5 linked regions of the Ovis aries genome follow. The protein of the gene in region 3 purifies or fractionates together with the protein of the main gene of each other region. This does not show direct contact. Links are inferred from orthologs where the notes say so. Each region holds a gene or a part of one and is shown on either strand. Other genes may lie near its edges.

The links.
Region 1: the proteins of SRPK3 (region 3) and FTSJ3 purify together in Homo sapiens (affinity purification with mass spectrometry; 3 studies listed by BioGRID and IntAct, with this or other methods). This does not show direct contact. The link is inferred for Ovis aries from reciprocal best matches to the Homo sapiens genes SRPK3 and FTSJ3.
Region 2: the proteins of SRPK3 (region 3) and CCDC86 purify together in Homo sapiens (affinity purification with mass spectrometry; 3 studies listed by BioGRID and IntAct, with this or other methods). This does not show direct contact. The link is inferred for Ovis aries from reciprocal best matches to the Homo sapiens genes SRPK3 and CCDC86.
Region 4: the proteins of SRPK3 (region 3) and EBNA1BP2 purify together in Homo sapiens (affinity purification with mass spectrometry; 3 studies listed by BioGRID and IntAct, with this or other methods). This does not show direct contact. The link is inferred for Ovis aries from reciprocal best matches to the Homo sapiens genes SRPK3 and EBNA1BP2.
Region 5: the proteins of SRPK3 (region 3) and SON purify together in Homo sapiens (affinity purification with mass spectrometry; 3 studies listed by BioGRID and IntAct, with this or other methods). This does not show direct contact. The link is inferred for Ovis aries from reciprocal best matches to the Homo sapiens genes SRPK3 and SON.

The regions. Positions count from the first base shown.
Region 1 is NC_056064.1:47,800,463-47,804,550, forward strand, and holds the start of FTSJ3 (pre-rRNA 2'-O-ribose RNA methyltransferase FTSJ3), read right to left. Parts: upstream 2,812-4,088; 5' UTR 2,634-2,811; coding exon 2,567-2,633; intron 2,391-2,566; coding exon 2,285-2,390; intron 1,364-2,284; coding exon 1,317-1,363; intron 1,193-1,316; coding exon 1,113-1,192; intron 686-1,112; coding exon 586-685; intron 494-585; coding exon 299-493; intron 219-298; coding exon 103-218; intron 1-102. Other genes in the region: PSMC5 (26S proteasome regulatory subunit 8), read left to right, coding at 3,198-3,221, 3,763-3,834.
Region 2 is NC_056074.1:34,552,382-34,555,371, reverse strand, and holds part of CCDC86 (coiled-coil domain-containing protein 86), read right to left. Parts: intron 555-2,990; coding exon 425-554; intron 1-424.
Region 3 is NC_056080.1:80,500,656-80,504,597, reverse strand, and holds the start of SRPK3 (SRSF protein kinase 3), read left to right. Parts: upstream 1-1,142; 5' UTR 1,143-1,190; coding exon 1,191-1,246; intron 1,247-1,317; coding exon 1,318-1,448; intron 1,449-1,581; coding exon 1,582-1,690; intron 1,691-1,823; coding exon 1,824-1,911; intron 1,912-2,201; coding exon 2,202-2,289; intron 2,290-2,860; coding exon 2,861-2,967; intron 2,968-3,053; coding exon 3,054-3,219; intron 3,220-3,323; coding exon 3,324-3,349; intron 3,350-3,832; coding exon 3,833-3,942. UniProt on the Homo sapiens protein: Serine/arginine-rich protein-specific kinase which specifically phosphorylates its substrates at serine residues located in regions rich in arginine/serine dipeptides, known as RS domains.
Region 4 is NC_056054.1:17,855,412-17,859,485, forward strand, and holds the start of EBNA1BP2 (probable rRNA-processing protein EBP2), read right to left. Parts: upstream 2,811-4,074; 5' UTR 2,630-2,810; coding exon 2,564-2,629; intron 2,481-2,563; coding exon 2,397-2,480; intron 2,194-2,396; coding exon 2,024-2,193; intron 1,426-2,023; coding exon 1,302-1,425; intron 1-1,301. Other genes in the region: CFAP57 (cilia- and flagella-associated protein 57), read left to right, coding at 3,196-3,352. UniProt on the Homo sapiens protein: Required for the processing of the 27S pre-rRNA.
Region 5 is NC_056054.1:122,631,121-122,635,135, forward strand, and holds the start of SON (protein SON), read right to left. Parts: upstream 2,808-4,015; coding exon 2,731-2,807; exon of another isoform or gene 2,590-2,730; intron 1-2,589. Other genes in the region: GART (trifunctional purine biosynthetic protein adenosine-3), read left to right, coding at 2,794-2,935. UniProt on the Homo sapiens protein: RNA-binding protein that acts as a mRNA splicing cofactor by promoting efficient splicing of transcripts that possess weak splice sites.

The sequences.
Region 1 (4,088 bases), on a different chromosome or scaffold from region 3:
GAGGTTGAGCAGTCAGTCCCTTCCGGGCTGTCTGTAGGACCCACCAGGCCCAGCCTCCCCCAGGTTCCAGGACCTGAGAGTGGGCCCACTCCCCTAACACACCTTTGGCTTCTTCTTGGTCACCAATTCTGTAACGGTCTTGGCCTGAACTTCGACTTCCTTGAAGGCAAACTTGGGGTCAAAGAATTTACTGTCAACCTTGTCAGGAGCCAGGAAACCTAAGATAATAGGATTCACGAGCAAGTGTGCTTTGGTAGGTAGGAGACTGAATCAAGAGAACAAATGAAGTTACACCCACCCTGGCAGACTACAAAGATCTCCGCAGATTCATGACGAGAGGCTTGGGGCTTGGTGGCCTGGACGCGGCGGAAGAGCTGCTGGAAGATCCACAGTAAGGGCTGATAGTCACGGGAACGGAAAACCTTTGTGATGAAGCAGCCACCACGGCCCAGAAAGTCACAAGCCAAACGCAGAGCCATCAGCGTCAAATGGGCTGTGGGACAGAGACGGTAAGCTGAGGACCTCTGCAGCCTGAGAGGGCATGCCCGCCTCCACCCTTATCTCCACATCCTCTGACCCCGGCACCTTGTGAGTAAGCATCATGGGCCCAGCTAGCCCCGACATTGGGGGCCCCATCATTGAGCACAACATCAACCTTCCAAGTTTTCAGCTCCTTCCTCAGGGCCTGCAGAGAAGGAAGAGATTACTGCAACTGAAATACAGACATGGCTATGAACTGAATCACTGGTTCAGCCATCTGTCCACCCAATCATTTGTTGAGTGCCTGCCACAGGCCAATTCCTGTGCCGTGGACAGGGAATACAGCGATAAGCAAACCTATCTGTCCTCATGGAGCTTAGTTTATAGAGAACCTGCTGGAAAGGATTTCATGGAAATCTCTGCACTTCCTCTAATTCCAAACACCTCTTTCCTGAATAAACAAAGGCTGGATGGACACACTGTCTTTTGGGCCTTGTCACAGAGATAATGTGTGGGCACTGCTTAGGGCATGGTAAACATGAAAAACGTGTTTTCAGGGGCTCAGGGTGGGAAGAGGGATGGATGCAGATGTCTACTTATAAAAAGGATGGGAAAAAGAAGGTTCCTATTACCTGCCTACAGCGTTCTGTTGTGATGTCCTCCTGGAGGGTCACCACATTGGGAAGAGGCTTGATTGGGACCAGATCCACTCCTGGAAGAAAAGAGGGCAGAGGATTCCAAAAGGCTGCCTCGAGCAGGGAGGAAGGAAATGCAGAACCACAGTGTCTCACTCTCCCACCCCCCCGGAACACCTAAGAGAGCCACCGGTCACTCACCCACAATAAGGCTGGATACAGGCATAAACTTGGCAGCTACTTGCAGCCTGTAAAAAAAAGTAAAGATTAAAATACCCTCGACCACCTCTCCCTCTCCCTTGACAATCTGATCTCTCACCCTCAGTGCTGGGAGTCTCTGGGACCTGGGACCTTTTGCTGCAGTGTTTGCGGCTGAACAAACAACTCCTCAAATAATAAAATACAAACAAACCACAAGTGACTAAAAATAACTGTATGCATGGCCAGCTGGGGTAAATTTTGGACAAGATACAAAAGACCAAAAAACAAACAAATCCACTGCCACCTATGAAGTGCTAGGAGCAAAAGCAGGGTCCTGCACTTGCCCCAACACTCACCATCATCAACGGGATGAGCAAACCACTGAAGCCACTCCTAAGGCTGGGCTCCTAGACACACAGCAACCCTCACCCCGTATAAAGAATCAGCTCACACCCCTCCAGGAGCTAGCAACCAAGGGAACGTGTTACTTGTTCTCACGCCCTCCTGCTGCAGCAGGGGCCCCAGTAAAGCTTTGCCTGAATTTCCTGTCTGGCCCCTAATCAATTTCTATTGATTGGGGAAGGCAAAGAACCCTGGTCTGGGAAAGAATGAAGGCAGGAGAAGGGGACGACAGAAGATGAGATAGTTGGATGGCATCACCAACTCGATGGACATGAGTCTGAGCAAGCTCCATGAGTCGGTGATGGACAGGGGGGCCAGGTGTGCAGAAGTCAAAGAGTCGGACACAACTGAGCAACTGAATGGAGCTGAAGAACCCTGGCCAGTACCAGCCAAACGTATGTACACGTTCTAAATCTTCCCTCCTGAAGCTTACAGTTCTGGGGAGTACAGAAATTTGAGGCTGGTATTACTGTATCCCTCCCGCCCCTCAACGTCAATTCTCAGTCATCCAAGGCTGGAACCCAGAAAGTTTCCATAAGGAGCGTCAGGTGCCAGGTGTTACCCACCATCCACCCGGTGCAGCGCACAGGTCCAGCAATGCTCGGGCTTTTTGCAGAAATTGAAAGCGGCGATTCAGCTGGATCAGCTTGAAAGCAGAGCGGGAGCGGTAACCTGGAGGCGGCGACAAAATTCTGTAACAAGGTCCGCGAAGCGCTTTCCCAGCGCGATTTCTACGGCCTCCCGACCCACTACCCCTTCTGCGGAAAAGAAACTCAATATTCGGAAAGCGGGGCGAACCGACCGAGGTCGGTGGCTCGCCTGCTCTGACAGCACGAACCCTGACTCACCGGTCTCCTTCGCCAAGTGATAGAACTTGTCCCGCCGGCTCTTCCCGACTTTGCTCTTTTTGCCCATGGTGTAACGTGGGGGCACCACTCAAGCGGGAGAGAAAGCAGAAGTTGGAACGTCTCTTCCCGGAGCACTAGATTCCGCCTTCCGTTTCCCACTCGCTGTCGCGGAGACACTCGGAGTCTTACTCGACACCACTCACCTGCAACCAGCACCGTTTTCTCCACCTTGGAGAGGCACATGTGGGCAGCAAACGTACTTCCGTTTCCGCTTGCGTCGCTCGCGTCCCGGCTCCAAGTTTTCCGCCATTTAGAGCGTGGCCACAAATATTTTCCCTGTAATCCTTCCCCAGGTTTTATAAGTTGGAAGCTGGCATGCCGCCAAAACCGAATTTCTAGAGAGTAACTTTAGGAGTTCTGTGCCTTTTACACCAAAGATCCTGACCTAGGGTAACTCCGTCCCTCCCCTCATGTCCCTTGTTATTTGTTACCGTCCGTCCTCACACCCCGCCCACTGACCCGGAACTGTTCTCTGCCCGAGTCTTTGGTACCCCCCCACCCCGCAAGCGCCGGCTTTGCGCCTGCGCGCCAAAGCGGCTCTGATGCCGGCGGTCTCCGCGGAAGAGGGAAGATGGCGCTTGACGGACCAGAGCAGGTATGGCGGCGGCGGCCGGGCGGGGACCGGGGCTGGATGAGAAGCAGGTGCGATCCGAGGTGGGCAGCCGGCCGGGGCCAGCGGGTCGGGGGCGTCCGGGGTGGGTGGGCCAGTCTAGACTGGGCCCTGCCTGGGACCGGATCTGCTGTGTCAGCGCCGCCCGCGGCGGGTCACGGCAGGGCCGGGAGTGGAAGACCGGGTGGAAGCCGATTGAGTGAGGAGCGGTGAGAACAGCGGGAGCGGTGAGAACCGCGGGAGCGGGAACCCACTCTTGGCGGGATTCGGGAGCCCCGTGCTGGCTGCTCCTGTACAAATAACATCTCGGGATTGTGTAGCGTTCCCTGATGCGCTGTTTCTTGATCCTCCTGAAAGTCTTAAGAGGCAGGCGGCATTCTCATTCTGTTTTAGTCTTAAGGAAATGGTTGTGAAGAGATGGAGTGAGGGACGAGAACACAAATCTTGAATCTCCGAAGTCAACGTGGAAATAGTTTTATCCTTTGGATGTTTAGCCTTTTGGTTAATAATTACACTGTGTCCTCAGATGGAGCTGGAAGAGGGGAAGACAGGCAGTGGACTCCGCCAATATTATCTGTCCAAGATTGAAGAACTCCAGGTGAGAACGGACTTCAGAGGTCCAGAGGGAACTAGAAGGGGGATGAGCAGATCTCTACAAATCCATGTAATTCCACTGCCATGCAGTGGAAAAATTAGTATTGATGACAAGTTAATAGTATAAAATATATGAAATTAACTGTCTCATGTTCCCCTGAAACCCCATCTTTTTGAAGATAATTAATATTCACAATTTCTTACACATCTTCAAGAGTCAAATTTTAACATAAAAGTACCCCCCAGCCAAAAGTCGTT
Region 2 (2,990 bases), on a different chromosome or scaffold from region 3:
CTTGGGTTGAGTGTCAGGGAGGACTGGAGGATTCTGCAGGCAGCCCTCTCTGCTGTATGGGAGCTGTGTCTCAGAGGACACTGGCAACAACACTCAGGATAAAGCCCCCGATTCGTCAGCTCTTCCCATCAGAGCAGGTCCAGGGCACGGACCCCTGAGCCCATCTCACTGAATGCTCTGATCACCAGTGAGGAACCAGGGGTCTTCATCCTCAGCCTCCTCCCATCCCTGGGGCTCACATAAGCCTCCTGGCTAAATGTGATGTTCCACTGGGCTTCCCTACCCTGGGGTCCTGGACTGCGCTTCTGCTTCTGGCCCAGCTCCCTGTCTTCCCAAGGTCTCTGGGTTAGAGGACAGCTCCTCTCCCCAATTGCCCCTGTTACGGCCAACACCCGCTCAGCCCCCCGCCTGGCCCACCCCTCACCTGCCGGCGCCGCTCCTTCTCCTCCTCCAGGTGCCGGGCGAAGTCCTTGGCCAGCTTCCTCTCCTGCCGGTCCTTCATCTTCCGCTGCCAGGATGTGCGCAGGGGCTTGTCCTGAACCATCTGGGAAAACCTGGATGGGGGGAGCGGGTGTTCAAGGAGCCACTGCGATGCCTGCTTTCCTCCCTCCTCTCGGCTCTGGGCCTTCTTCCCCAGAACGCAGTCAGAATCACCTCCCCACCTGCCAGCTGCCCAGGCAGTTGACTGTCCAGGCCTGGGGCAGGAAAGGGCTCCCAATCACACCCAAGGCCACTTCTGAAGCCCTGGTTATGTGCCTAAGGCGGGTACTCTCATTCTCTCCACTTCGCAGAGGTGCTGACCAAGGCTCAGAGAGGGTAAATAATTGCTCTGGGTCATCCTGCTCCTGAGGAGCAGTCTGTGATCAAAGGTCCAGGCCAAACGGCCTCTGCTACCAAGCTCTACTGCTCTGCCCAAGTGCAGGGGGCCTGGGTGTGGACGCCTCTGGAGCAGGGTTCACTCCCTACTGGGGTGCCCGTTTCATCTCAGAACATGTGAATGGTCACGGTCCCCTGCAGTGATTCAGAGTCTCTCTTCCCAGCAGGGGCAATGTGAACACGGAGTGGCAGCTAGGCAACATCAGGGAAGTCTGGATATTCTAGAGTGACAGTGACAAGGTCACAGGAGGAGCGAGATCACCTCTGTAAGAACACCACCAGGATCTAGGGGTTGGATGACCTATGTAGGATACACTGTGAAATCTTCCAGGAAAAAGGAAAAACACTTTGAGGAGCAAGAAGGAATGAGGAACAAGCCCAGGCAAATGCTGAGGGCTGCCTTGCCTGGTGATGCGGGCCTGGGGGTTTCTGCAACCACGCCCCTCCCTTTCCTTTTTTCCTGAACGATTTGAAACCTTGGGTGCGGGTGTCCCACGGGCCTTCTTTCCTTCTCAACAGATCTTTTCGTAGTGGCCTTTCCACCTCCCTCAATAATTTCTTGACTTTCCAGAGCTCCTGTTTATCCACATCCACTGTATCACAGCCCACACGGTCACAGTAAGCAGGGCTCTGAAGGCTGCAGTGGGCACCGCGCAGAGGCCCCACTCCCACCCCCGGGGAAGGCTCAGTACTGCTCTTCCAGTTCGTCTCTCCCCCCGCCTGCTCCCTAGGAGTCTGGCACATACAGCCTGGACCCTGACCCCAGGCCTGTCCATCCTCAGCCTGCTTCCCCCCTCCCCAGTTCTGCCTGCCCCACCCCAGCCCACCCCCGACTGCTCCCTGTCGCCCTCCCCAAGGGCCTGCTGCATGGACTCCCTCCCTGCCCTTACATCCGGGCATCTCAGACTGGGGCACGAGGCCCCGAAAGGGACAAGACAGAGGGGAGCTGGACACACGGAGCCTCAGGCAGGACTTGTGCTGCATCCCCCCTGGGGCAGCGGTGGAGACGCCCTTTATCTACACTGGCCAATCAGGGAGCGGCGAGTCACACGGGCTGCTGAGCATTTGAAAGGTGGCTGATGACCAGGAAACTGAATTTTGAACTTGAATTGTAAGCTATTTAAATTTAAACAGCCACAGGTGACTGATGGATAAGACACCGAGGCAGTGCAGTCTCAGAGCACTGCGTTTACCTGAAGATTGAAGGAAGCCAGGTGTGGATCCACCACTTACTACCTGTGTGACAGTCGGCTAGGCAGCCTCTCTGAGTCTGTGTTACCTGGAGACGAGGGCCATTCCCATTGCAAAGGGTGATGGGAGGGTTAGTGGCTCTCAGCCCGAGAAGCACTTAGCCCAGTGCTTTGCACATAGTAGGTGCCCAGTGAATCCATCCTTTAGAGATGGGAGCTGGCTCACTCAGGGAAGACTGGGCAGAAGGGGGCATTGGGCCTGGATACGGGAGGTGGGCCTTCCCAGCCTTGGCTGCCTCCCTCAAACCCCCCCACCCCATCCCCCCACAGCTGTAGTAGGTGCTGGCCTCCCCACCCTACCCCCCACCTTCTGATCTTAGAGCTCACTCACCAACCGCCAGAGCTGCTTCCTCAAAGATTCCAAACACCCATTCCACTGCCCTTCTGGCCCTTATCCACAGGCCTGGTGCAGCTTCTGAAGGTGCTTTAATTCTACCACAGCAGCTTCCTTACTGGTCTCCCTGCTCTCGCCCCAGCCCTCGGAACAGTCTGTCCTCTACAGGCCACACCGGTCCTCCCAGAGGTCAGATTGAATTACTCTTTTGCTCAATACTCCCCATGGCTCCGTTGTGCACTTGGGTCCCTACAAGGACCCACGCGACCTGGCCCGGTGACCCCTCTGACCACTCTCCTCCTATGGTGCCCCCCAGTGCCCACTGATGAAGCCTCTGGACTGTTTCTCAAACAGGGGAGCACAAGCTTGCCTCTGGACTTCCTGTTCCCCTTGCTTGGATACTCTTTTCCGATATGTTCATTCAAGCCTCTGCTCACATCCCCGGGGCAGTGAAGTTATCTCCGATCACTGTGACAACGGCCCACACTCTCTGCTCTTTTACTTGTTACTGATATACTATGGGTTGGTTA
Region 3 (3,942 bases):
TCCCAGGAGCAATCAGTGTGTTCTCTCTAAAGAGCCAAAGTGCCCATGACCCTCTGCAGAAACCCCACATCCGTGCCTGCAGGCTCTGGGGGGCTCCTTGAGCACCTAAAGCCCCCTGCCCCACCTTATCTTCCATACCCACAGCCAGTCTTCAGCAAAGACCAGCCACAGAGGTCTCCAGGGTGTCCTGCTCCCTCTCTGGAGGTTCCCCTGCCCATCCCATTTTGGGGGACCAGATTCTTCAAAACCTGGTCCCTTGGCTACCACCCCAAGGTCACAGGCTTTGGAGGGCTGTGTGACCTGGACCACTAGAGCCATGGGCTCCTTTGCTTCCCATTTGAGGGTTCCCTGAGGGCAGGGCCAGGGTGGACAACTCCCTGTGCATCCCACATGGACACTTGCACTTGTTGGAGCCAGAGAGCAAGGCAAAGATGGACCCAGGGAGCCACAGGGACGACATGCTGCACTGGGGTCCCACGCGGGCAGCCCCCAGGCCTGTACCTCTGGTGGGAAGACCTCACACCCTCGATCGGCCCCTGGCCAGGGCCCCTCAGGGATGCCGCATGGAGGGACGAGAGGACACTGGACTGCCACGTTTTGGGGCTCCAGGACCCGAGTGGCCAGGGAGTGAGGTACCCTCGAGAATGGCTGGGGTCGCCTCTGGGCAGGCTTGCACAAGCCAGAAGCCAGAGCATATTTGCAGCTGTGGCCGCTGCCTGAGGGCATATGAGAGGGGGCACCATGCCCACAGGGCCCTTAGCAGGCTCTGGAGCCCTGGGACTCCAGTTTGAGGACCAGGTCACCACCACGTGGCCACTCTGCAGCGCCCTCTGTCAGTCCTGGAGTGCAGGAGCTTAGCCCAGGGTCCAGGTCACCACTTCCCAGTGTGGTGGTCCTAGGGTGCCAGGGAACTCCCCGGGGAGGCAGTGGCACACCATGTCCCCACAGCAGCGCCCTTGCCCAGCCCTGGGATGGGGGCGGGGGGCTCATCCTGGGGGGTCGGGCCCTCAAGGGCTGCTGTCACCGCGCCGCCCCCTCCCCGCTGCATACCTTGCCCACAGCCGAGCAGCTGGGAGGCTATTTATAAAGGCGGGTGAGATCAGCAGCCGAGGCTATAAATGTGCGGGCTGTGACCGGGCCCCAGAGGAGCGGCCGCCCGGGGTGCCGGAACTACGGGCAACACGGCCAGAATGAGCGCCAGTGCAAGTGGCGGCTGCGGCGGCAACGACAGTGACAGCAGCAGCAGGTAAGGCCAGGTCGGGCTGCCCAGGGCCCCTGGCAGCCCGTGCGCTCACTGCCTGCCTGCCCCACCCGCAGCTCGCAGGCCTCCTGCGGGCCCGAGTCCTCTGGCTCCGAACTGGCCCCCACCGCCCCCACGCCACAGATGCTGCAGGGGCTGCTAGGCTCCGACGAAGAGGAGCAGGAAGACCCCAAGGACTACTGCAAGGGTGAGGCCCCGGGGAGGAAGAGGAGGGGGCCCGGAGCCCGCCCACGTGGGCTAGGGGTCCCAGCAGGACGGCGCCGTGCCGGGGCAGGGGCAAGGCGCCACCCTCAGCGGCTTCTGTGGGCTCCCTTCCCCAGGCGGCTACTACCCTGTGAAAATCGGGGACCTGTTCAATGGGCGGTACCACGTGGTGCGAAAGCTGGGCTGGGGCCACTTCTCCACCGTCTGGCTCTGCTGGGACATCCAGTGAGTGTCCCCCCACCCCCGCCCCGGGGCTCCATGCCAGCTGGGATCCTGCCCCTGGGCATGCCTGCAGCTATGGCGAGGGCCCCGTGGGTCTGCCTGGTGCCAGCGGCCAACACGGGTCTTGGTGTTGCAGGCGCAAGCGTTTCGTGGCTCTCAAAGTGGTGAAGAGCGCGGGGCATTACACGGAGACAGCTGTAGATGAGATCAAGCTCCTGAAATGTGTGAGGCGCCTCCCCTACCCGTTCCCAGTTCCCTGGGAGCCGCCTGGGGCCTGGCAATGTGGGTGTGAGGCCCGCCCGCCCGGCTCCGAAGGCTGGGGCGGGGCGCCCACAGGGGCAGGCTCCAGCTGGCAAGGCCGAGGGGGAGGACCCAGAGGGCGGGCCTGAGGCTTTTCTTCCAGTGAGGCCCAAGCACAGCGGGACAGGGGGTGCCGGAGGGGCTGCCCACCCTGGGGGAGCAGCCCGTAAGGGGCAGGTTGAAGCCATCTGTGGCCCCTTGGCTTTTACTGCAGGTCCGAGACAGTGACCCCAGTGACCCCAAAAGAGAAACCATTGTCCAGCTCATCGATGACTTCAGGATCTCAGGGGTTAACGGAGTCCGTATCCTTTGCAGGCTGAGCAAACAAGTGTGGCATATCAGCAGGGGCTAGCTGGCTGGTGCCTTCCAGCTCCAGGGGCCTCAGTTTGCTGATCTGTGTGACGGGCGGTTTATCCCTTCCAATGACACTAGTCTATGAAATACCCCCACCACTTCAGGGATTTGTGTCTGGGCATGGGAGGTGGAGCAGATAACCAGGTTGGCATTGGCAATCCATGGCTAGGTTACCCCCAAGTGGGAGGCACCGTCTCTGCGTGCCTTCCCTTTCGGGGGGGGGGGAGGGCTGTCAATAGGCTCTTGGGCAGACATGGGCACAGGACTGGGGCTGTTCTGAGAAACCTGTCTACTCCTCCAGTGCCCTGTCCCTAGGAAGACCACAGAAAGTATGGTGCCAACTGGCACACCAGAGAGTGACAGGGACACTAGGGCGCCACTGGGATGGTGGTGATACAGGACCTCCCAGACCTAGCTCTATGCTGCCTGAGCCTTGGGGCTCCCCCACCCCAGCTGAGGGTGGGCAGGACCTAGGCCCCGGTTGCACGCCCAGCAGTTGCCCTTCACTCCTGGCCCCAGATGTGTGCATGGTGTTGGAGGTCCTCGGCCACCAGCTGCTCAAGTGGATCATCAAGTCCAACTACCAGGGCCTGCCCGTGCCCTGTGTGAAGAGCATCGTGAGGCAGGTGAGCTCTTCCTGAGTTCGGCAGGAAGAGCCCTGTGGCAGGCAGCCAGGGCAGGGCGGGTGGACTTCAGGACTGGCTCTTTCCAGGTGCTGCACGGCCTGGATTACCTCCACACCAAGTGCAAGATCATCCACACAGACATCAAGCCCGAGAACATCCTGCTGTGTGTGGGGGATGCCTACATCCGGCGCCTGGCTGCTGAGGCCACAGAGTGGCAACAGTCAGGGGCACCACCCCCATCCCGCTCCACAGGTACCCAGATCCTGTGTGGGGCCGGGGCAGGGCCCGTGGGTCTCAGCCCCAGCCTGAGTCTTGGTTCCTTTCTCTTCCTCCCGGCTCTGCCTGCTCCACCGCAGTCAGTACCGCCCCCCAGGAGGTCTTGGTAAGTTGGGCCGCCTCTTTTCCTAAGCCTCATTTTCCCATCTGCTCAGAGCTCACTTCTCAGCCTCTCTGGTTCCCCTTTCTCCCTAACTCTCCCTGCTGCCCAACACTCCTGCAGGGGCATGTCCAAAAGGCCAAGTGGCCTGGATGAGGGTGATACAGAGGGGCCACAAGCCCCAAACGGCCCTGGGTGGCCACTGGGGCTCACCACCACCTCCCCGGAAGGACAATATGTTTACAGCTGGCCCCAAGGGAGGCTGGCGCCCAGCCAGAGGCTTCTTGGTTCCTCCTCGGCCTCCAGCTCTGGAGAGTGGAGGGCAGGAGGGGACCCAGGAGGTGGGCGAGGTTGCAGGACCACATCCTGATGGTCATGGAGTCCTGGGACCTGCAGACCTTGTCCCCTGCGGGAGCCCTGTGGACAAACTTGGGCTGCTCCGCGGCTGGCTGCCAGGCACCCCCGGGCTGACCCTGGCTCTCTTGGTAGACAGGGAAGCTGTCAAAAAACAAGAGGAAAAAGATGCGGCGCAAGCGGAAACAGCAGAAGCGGCTGCTGGAGGAGCGGCTGCGAGACCTGCAGAAGCTGGAGGCCATGGA
Region 4 (4,074 bases), on a different chromosome or scaffold from region 3:
TAAACAAAACAGCTTGCTTGCCTCTGAATCAGGAGAAAAGACTAACTTCTCTCCATCCATACCGTCTGCAGACTGTGGTGAAACCAGTATGCAGCTTTAGCCTCCTTCTCCAGTATATCATCTGTACTATAAAAACTCAGATATCAGGTACCTAGCCGTTTGCATTAAACATATACATTTCAGTTAAAGAATGAACAGTTATGAATTTGAATGTGCAGAAATGGGTCTGGGTTCGTCTCTAGATTAGCTTCTTTGAGTACCACTGAGACAAGAAAATCCAGTTTGAGACCCAAGGGAACTATTCAGATATATCTTGGATTAGACATTGGTAATTCTCTGCCTCTCAAAGTTGAATAAGGACCAAATTCTACCTAACTGTTCAGTTCAGTTCAGTTCAATCACTCAGTTGTGTCCAACTCTTTGCAACCCCATGAACTGCAGCACGCCAGGCCTCCCTGTCCATTGCCAACTCCCAGAGTTTACTCAAACTCATATCCACTGAGTCGGTGATGCCATCCAACCATCTCATCCTCTGTCGTCCCCTTCTCCTCCTGCCCTCATCTTTCCCAGCATCAGGGTCTTTTCCAATGAGTCAGCTCTTCACATCAGGTGACCAAAGGATTGGAGTTTCAGCTTCAGCATCAGTCCTTCCAATGAATATTCAGGACTGATTTCCTTTAGGACGGACTGGTTGGATCTTCCTGCAGTCCGAGGGACTCTCAAGAGTCTTCTCCAACACCACAGTTCAAAAGCATCAATTCTTCAGCACTCCGCTTTCTTTGTAATCCAACTCTCACATCCATCCATGACTACTGGAAAAACCATAGCCTTAACTAGCCTTAACTTAACTTACCTAACTGTAAATTATGCCAAATCTAAGCCATATATTAATCCTTCATTCTAGAGCAAAGAAAAACTAAGGCTCAGAGAAAGGTAACTGTCTACAAGTTATAATGCTGCCCCGGCAACGGCAGGAAAGAACTGTTGTCTCTTCCAAACACCATGCCATGACCATGCCAGCTAGGAGATGCATAAAGATCATCTTAGGGACCACACTTCTTACATTATCTTCCTCCCTTAACTGTCTTTATTAGGAAAAAGTCAACCTTACATTTGTCCAACTGGTGTTGATTAGCATGAATCTGACATAGGTAACTGAGATAATAATTTTCCTCTGACAACTGGCTCCCTATCAATGTGGTTATGCCTTTGTTTGTTTGAACATTAAGGGAGACAAGCCAGCTGTATAGACTTAAGTACAAAGCTTCAGTCTTCCAGAGAAAACCTCTTCCATTTCTTACCTTCTGCATCTGCTGATCAGACTTGGCCATCTCTGCAAAATAATCCGTAGGCCGCTTGGTAGGCACTTTGAGCTGATGGAGGCGGGGCAATACTGCAAGCACCGCTGCCTGGGCTTGACGGTAGCTGCAGATGTAGGACAAAGTGTGAAATAAGCTAAGGCAGAGAGGTCTTACATCCTTCTGACTGCCTCTCATAAGGCATCCAAGGTCGGAAGAGCCCGCAACACCTGACCTCCACCAGCAAGAACACACACACAAACAAAAATGGTAATAAAACCTCATTAACTCAGGAGAAATTTAGATGTACACTCTTTTAAAAGGGGTGGGGAGTATTGCTTAAAATGAATTAGTAGTTTAACAGAATGACCACTTTAGAAGTGCTCACTAACTTACAAATGCCAATTACACATTCTTATTTAGTCACTAAAAAAAAAGTCTATATAAGGATCCCACATAAGCAACGTTTTGTTCTCATAATCAACTGCACAAAAAAATTTAAAACTTAGTATTTGAAAATAAACTGGACTTTAAATTGTGACTGCTGGACCATGGGGCCTTTCTCTCAACCACGGAGCATCTCCTACTCCTTAGTCCAAAGAAGCTTTCCTCCCTACTCCCAGGCTTAGGACACCTCGAAGGAACACATGCTCACGGCTTCCACCCTCTCCCCACTCTCTAGCGCAGGGACCCACAACCTTTCCCACACTTGAAAGCATACATACAAGCTCATCTCACGCTTAAAGTCATCTTCTGGATCAACAGCTTTCGGATCCTGGTTCTGAGATGTTGACTGAGATCCACCGATTTCTGGTACCGGACCCAGAGTCACATCAAGCCTTTCAACCCATTCCAGATCCCGCTTGAATTCAGCCAAACACTGCTTCAGGCCATTCTAGGAAATTCAGACACCAAGCTCACAAAAAGGTAACAGGCCAACAAATGAAGTGCCAACCTCCAAGACCCCGACAGGTAGTTGACACTCTTGGCAATGCGCAGGGTGTGTCTTTCCTAGAACTAGAACGCAGTCTCTGGAGCACAACAGTACCTCGCGCGCATCCCAAGTCTAGCATCCTCCGACCGGGCGCCCGAACTCACCACGTCGTTCACGGCCTTCTTCGGCCCCTCTAGCACCACGTTGAGGCCTGGCTTCAGAAGCCCTCGGGAAAACGCCTCCTGCAACTAGAGGGCACGTTCTCCGGTGAGAATGGGAGAGTGAGGAACCCTCTTCCTCGCGCAGCCGCGCGAGCTCGGATGATACCTACCTCTCTGTCTGTGACAAGAGAGTCATCAGAATCGGAGTCCGAACCTGAGAGCGGGGGGGTGTCCATCTCACCGCGCGCGAGTCCACACCTACCGGAGGACGCGGAGTAGCCCGAGCCCCCCGCGCCTGGAAAAGGGCGCCCCTCGCCGCTGCCGCTTTGCAGCCCCCTGCCCTCCTGCAGCGGACCCACGTGGACTCGAACCGCACGGGAGCAAACAGCTGCTCCTGAGCTCTCTGAGCAAAAGACTTCCGCTTCCGGGTGCTGACATACTTCCGGCTTGCCGTTGCTATAGGAACCGCTCCGGCGTCGGTGAGTGCCGGGTTGCTTCGGATTCGTAGGGGTAGTACACGGGACACACGCGTGGTCTGGTTATCCAGAGAGCAGAAGCTTACAGGTGGGAGAGATCCCTGGGGGTTGTCCAGAGGAGCAGGAAGCCGCGAGGGCGAGAGGAACGAGCAGACGCAGGAGCCGGGTCTGGGGCACCCGCGGAGATTGCTAAGGGGAGGGGGCGGAGGAGCAGTTCGGAGGCGGAGCCACGGGCTTGTCGCGGGGCGGGTGCGGCCGGGTGGGCGCGGTTTCGCGCGTGTCCGTGCTCACTAGCTGCGTTGCATCTTTAGCGGAACTACCCGACCATGTCCACTGTGGTAGCTCAGTCGCTGCATGTTTTTGGTCTTCGATCCCACGTGTCCAACAATGTCTTCTTCTTCGATGAACAGATCATTATATTTCCTTCAGGAAATCACTGTGTGAAGTACAATGTGGATCAGAAATGGCAAAAATTCATTCCAGGTAAAACTGTGTTTCCAATCTGACACCTAGGTAACCGTGTGAACCAAATATAACACCATAATCCCAATAGGATGATTGAAAGAAAACTTTTTTTGGACAATTTGAATATACATATAGTTTTATAGATGTAGAAGAAATACATGTCTACTTGCCTTATTTTAATGTATAGATTAATGAATCATCCATAAAGTCACATGTAAAATCCTGTTAATTTAAAGGTACTTTTTTTTCACTGTGATCTAATGGAAAAAAATTCTTTTGAAGAGTTTCATGCATCTTCATTATCACTCTCCTTGCCATCACCAGGGCTGCTTTTTGACTTCTCTAACAGTTTTCTAGAGTATACCACTTTCATTACAGACCTTTTGAATCCATTTATGATGAAAACACTAGAGATTTTACCCCAGGTCAGAAATAACCATTTGTATACTGTAACATTTGGGTTTGTTCACATTGGTCCTGCTAATGATATACATGATTTCCATACCTTCGCCACTCTTTTCCACTGTTTTCTGCGCTCAACCTCTTTTATTGTGACATGCATACAAAAGACTGTATACTACATATGTGTAGTATTTAAAGAACTATAGTAAAATGAAGCTTTGAAAATCTACCAAAAGGAGAGCAAATAGTACATTACCAGTCCCAGTGTTTCTCCCTGACTTCATTTATCTCCCATGTGCCCACTCTCACTCCATCCTGGAATTTGTCATTATTCCCTG
Region 5 (4,015 bases), on a different chromosome or scaffold from region 3:
AAAAAAAAATTTAAATACTCCCCAACCAGAATATTTCAGGGGAAAATTACTAAGATCACAATCACCAAACCAAAGAAAAACACATTACCCTAACATTATGGTATATGCTATAGTGACAATAAAGCTACACCTATAGATGGATCACAATCACCATCAGCAATATGAAGGAACAAAAATTCAGCCACAGACATTTAGTCAAAAGTATAACTGGTAGCTTCAGATCAGGTTGAAACTCTTCAGTTACTGAAATGCCACAATATTGAAAAAATACACATACAGTTTTCACCCAGTTACCAAAAACCATGTAAACCAATTCATTTATAGTAACAGTCAATGAATGAATCACTTAACATTTTCAATTTACAGGAACAGAAGAATCTTGACAGAAGATACATTTTTATATATCATTTATTTTTATCATTTGTCACTTGTACTATTTTGTACAAATTTACAAAATTGTTTCGAAAAATGCTTTCACAACAGTATGTGTGACTTACTGTAATTTAAGCTTTAACCAAAAATATTCAGTAGCTTTTCATGTTATTAAAGAATATTTGGTTTTCTAATACAATGAATCATACAATAAATATTATTTAACATTTATTAACTATTAATTAAGGTCACATGGTTCTACATTTCTAAACTCATTTATCCCCACAAACTCTGAAATCAGCACTATTGTTCTGATTTTTCAATGAGGAAAATGAGGCCCAAAGAAAACAAAACAAACCTAGCTGAAGATTACACATTTATTAAGCAGTAAAGCTGGCATTCAAAACCAGAGCTCTTACTCCTAACCATCTATAAATAAAAACTTTAAGCTATTAAAGTTATCAGTCTCCTCACTCAAACCAATATACATTAAAAAATAAATGACAAACACACAAAAGAACTACAGCTCACTAAAACAGCAAATAATCTTGACACTGATAATGTATAACGTTACTTGAAAAGAAGCTGAATATTCCTCCAGTAATACACTGCTTCATCTAATTTTCTTTTTAGAGTTTCTTCCTGGACTTTCTTTACATTTTTCCTAAGCACTTACACTGTGCTGACCTTACTAAAAAATCCACGGATTTAAAAATCCGAAAAGTAGGAATAAAAAAAAAAAAAAAACAGGCAATCTATAAGAAAGTAATCATCTTAAAGCTCTCCAGATGTTCATTCAACTACTGAAAAAGGGTGGAAATGTCAAGGCACCTAAATATCAATACAATCCTACAATAAACAGAATTCTATGGAGCCTGGAAAAATGTTCCAAACCATGATAAAAGTTCACAATATACAGGTTAAAAAAAAAAAAACACGCAAAACAAGATGACCACATTTCACAAAACACGTGCATCTGTATGCAAAGGAAAAAAAGTGAAAGAAGATAAAGATCAATAACCATGCGTTTTAAAATTCGTTTCTCTATTTTTTCTAAACCTAATACAACAATAAAACTTCTAATACAAAACCTAATTTTTAAAAGGTATAGAAATAAGACATTACAATTATCAAACACAACTACTGATTGCATGCAACTATTAAAAAGTTTCCAGGAAAATTCTATTCCCTTAGCTCAGGTCGTTTCTCACTATCCTAAAAATAACTAGCATATTACAAAATTTCAAAAAGCAACTAAATCAATGAACAGATATATTTCCCACTTGAAAAACAATGTATACGCAAAGAATTCCAGCAAATCTATATCATTACCCCATAACCGTATGTTAATTGGAGCATTCAGTTTACAACTGAGTTTCCGGCTATTTTTCAAATTCACCTCACGTTTGATTCTAGCTCTCAACTTTTTAAAACACAACTAACAATGCATTTCAACTCGGAACAAATGTTTACGTTATGCAAAATAAAAATACAAAAAGACAACCACTAAATAACATGACCCACGCGATTTTCCTTTCCGAGTAAGCAACTATTTCTTTGAAAGTCTCTTCCCATTCAAATTGTGTGGAACCAAGGGTAAACTAGTAGCGATGACAAAAACAGCGTGTTGGTCAAATAGGTCAATCGGGGCAGAGGGAGCAAGAATATTTAGACCAATACACGAACTCCACTTTTCGCTTGCTAAATTTAGTAATTACTAGTAATTCAAAGTCTCCTTCCATCCTCGCCTCGAATATTCTGTCAAAATAACTAACGTTAACTTTAACTGTTTTAATTTAAATTTCTAATCTACCAGACTATTTAAAATGCTACCTGGTGGAAGCCACAGGACATTAGGACCCAAATAATCTTCTCAAAGGATCCCGACCCCCAAGTGGTCCGAAGCTTGCAGTAATAAAGCGTATTTAAGATTACTCAAGAAACGGCCGTTAGACCCCTTTCCGGTCAAAGACACCGGCCGGCGAAATCCGCGGAGGCGGAGAGGGGGAGGGGAAGCGCGGCGGCAGAGCTGAGGAAGGAACTAGGCCCATCCCCGGTGGACAAGCAGGCCTACAGTAGCTAGACGGTAGGGGATACCCAAACAGGACAGAAGGCTGAGCATCTTAACTCGGTTCTAGAAGAGACAGCCTGGGATTATCTCGGAAAGGGCGAAGTTCCTCGCCGGGAAGGGAGGGAGCGGATGGGGGTGGGGGGGCCGGAAAATGGATCCCAGGCCCAGGCGGGGCTGTAGCCGGGCCTGAGACGAGCAACGACAGCGTCTCCGAAGAAAGATTCCATGGAAGGCCCCGTGGGGTCCCAGCGGTCCTTTGGGAGCAGAAGAGTCTGAGGAGAGCTTACCTTGAAAGCTCCTGTTGAATTTCCCGGAATTTACTGACCACGAAAGACCTAAAAATCTGCTCGATGTTGGTCGCCATGGCGTCCGCTCCGTTCTCTCAACTCCTCCTCACCAGTCCTCCAGGCTCCCAGCATGCCTCGGGAGGAGGCGCAGCGGCCAATTCCGTCTCTCGCCGTCCTGATTGGCTCCTGTGGGAGAGCCAGACCGGTACGCTCCGCCTCCGAACCTATCAGCGAGCACGGCCCCGCTCTCCTCCGCTGTTTCTGAGCGTTTGGGGTAGAGCTGCTGACGTTTGCGCCGCGCACGACTGTGTCCGCCATGTTAGTGACTGACGCAGGCGCCATTACAGGAGAAGTCTCTCTCTCGAGGTGGCTGTGTCGGCTTCAGTTGTCAGTCTTCAATAGCGTTTGGGGGAGGGGGGGCCGTTTAAGAGGCTTATTTTAGCCACTAACTACCCGAGATTAAATTCCGTGAGGAAAGGGAGCGGGGAGGGCAACAGGGTGCTCCAACATGTCTCCGCGTTTCGGCAGGGGAGATCCATTCGGGAAAGCACATTATCAGCGCCTGCCCACCGTACGAAGAATAACGTTTTCATCCCCCCATCTCTCTCCCGTGGCATCCTATAATCAGCTTTTTTTCCCCCCATTTTAGCATTGGGTCAGAGGTCACGAGCCAGCTGAGCTCAAACCCTGGTGCATTCTAATCTCGTCAGGAGCCAGGCGCATCACGAGACTTTTGCACAGTAGCCGGTCAGTTCTGATTCCTAAGCAACACACAAGTAGCTGAACATGGGTTTAGCATTTTGGCGCTCCCCACCGTCAGAGCTCAGGAGGTTCTGGAGGGGAGAGTAGATTTTACGTGGCACCTGGTACCACAGAATTAAACACTGTAAACGAGTAGGGTTTAAGAGATTAGCTCCGGAGGGGAGGTTCAGGCCGTGCCCGAGAGCGGGAGGGCGTCGTTCTTGATTACCTCGGGGTGGGGACCACGGGCCCCGCCAGCCAATAGGGAGGCGAACCCTCGAGGGCGGGGTGGGAGGGCCGAGCGCGCCGGATTCCGCGCGCCCAACTTCCGGCGCGCGTGGAGTACATTCAGATCCAGAGCGCTAGGCGAAGGTCTACGTGGGGACCCCGAGGTCACCCAGTATCGCCGGGTGAGTTTCCTCCGCCTCTCAGTAAAGTTGCTTTACGGTTTGGCTTGGCGGATTTACTCTCAGGCGTGAGATGAAACTGTGTGAACCGGTTTGGCTGCAGGAATTTTCATCTTATTCCCACGTGCCATGGGTGA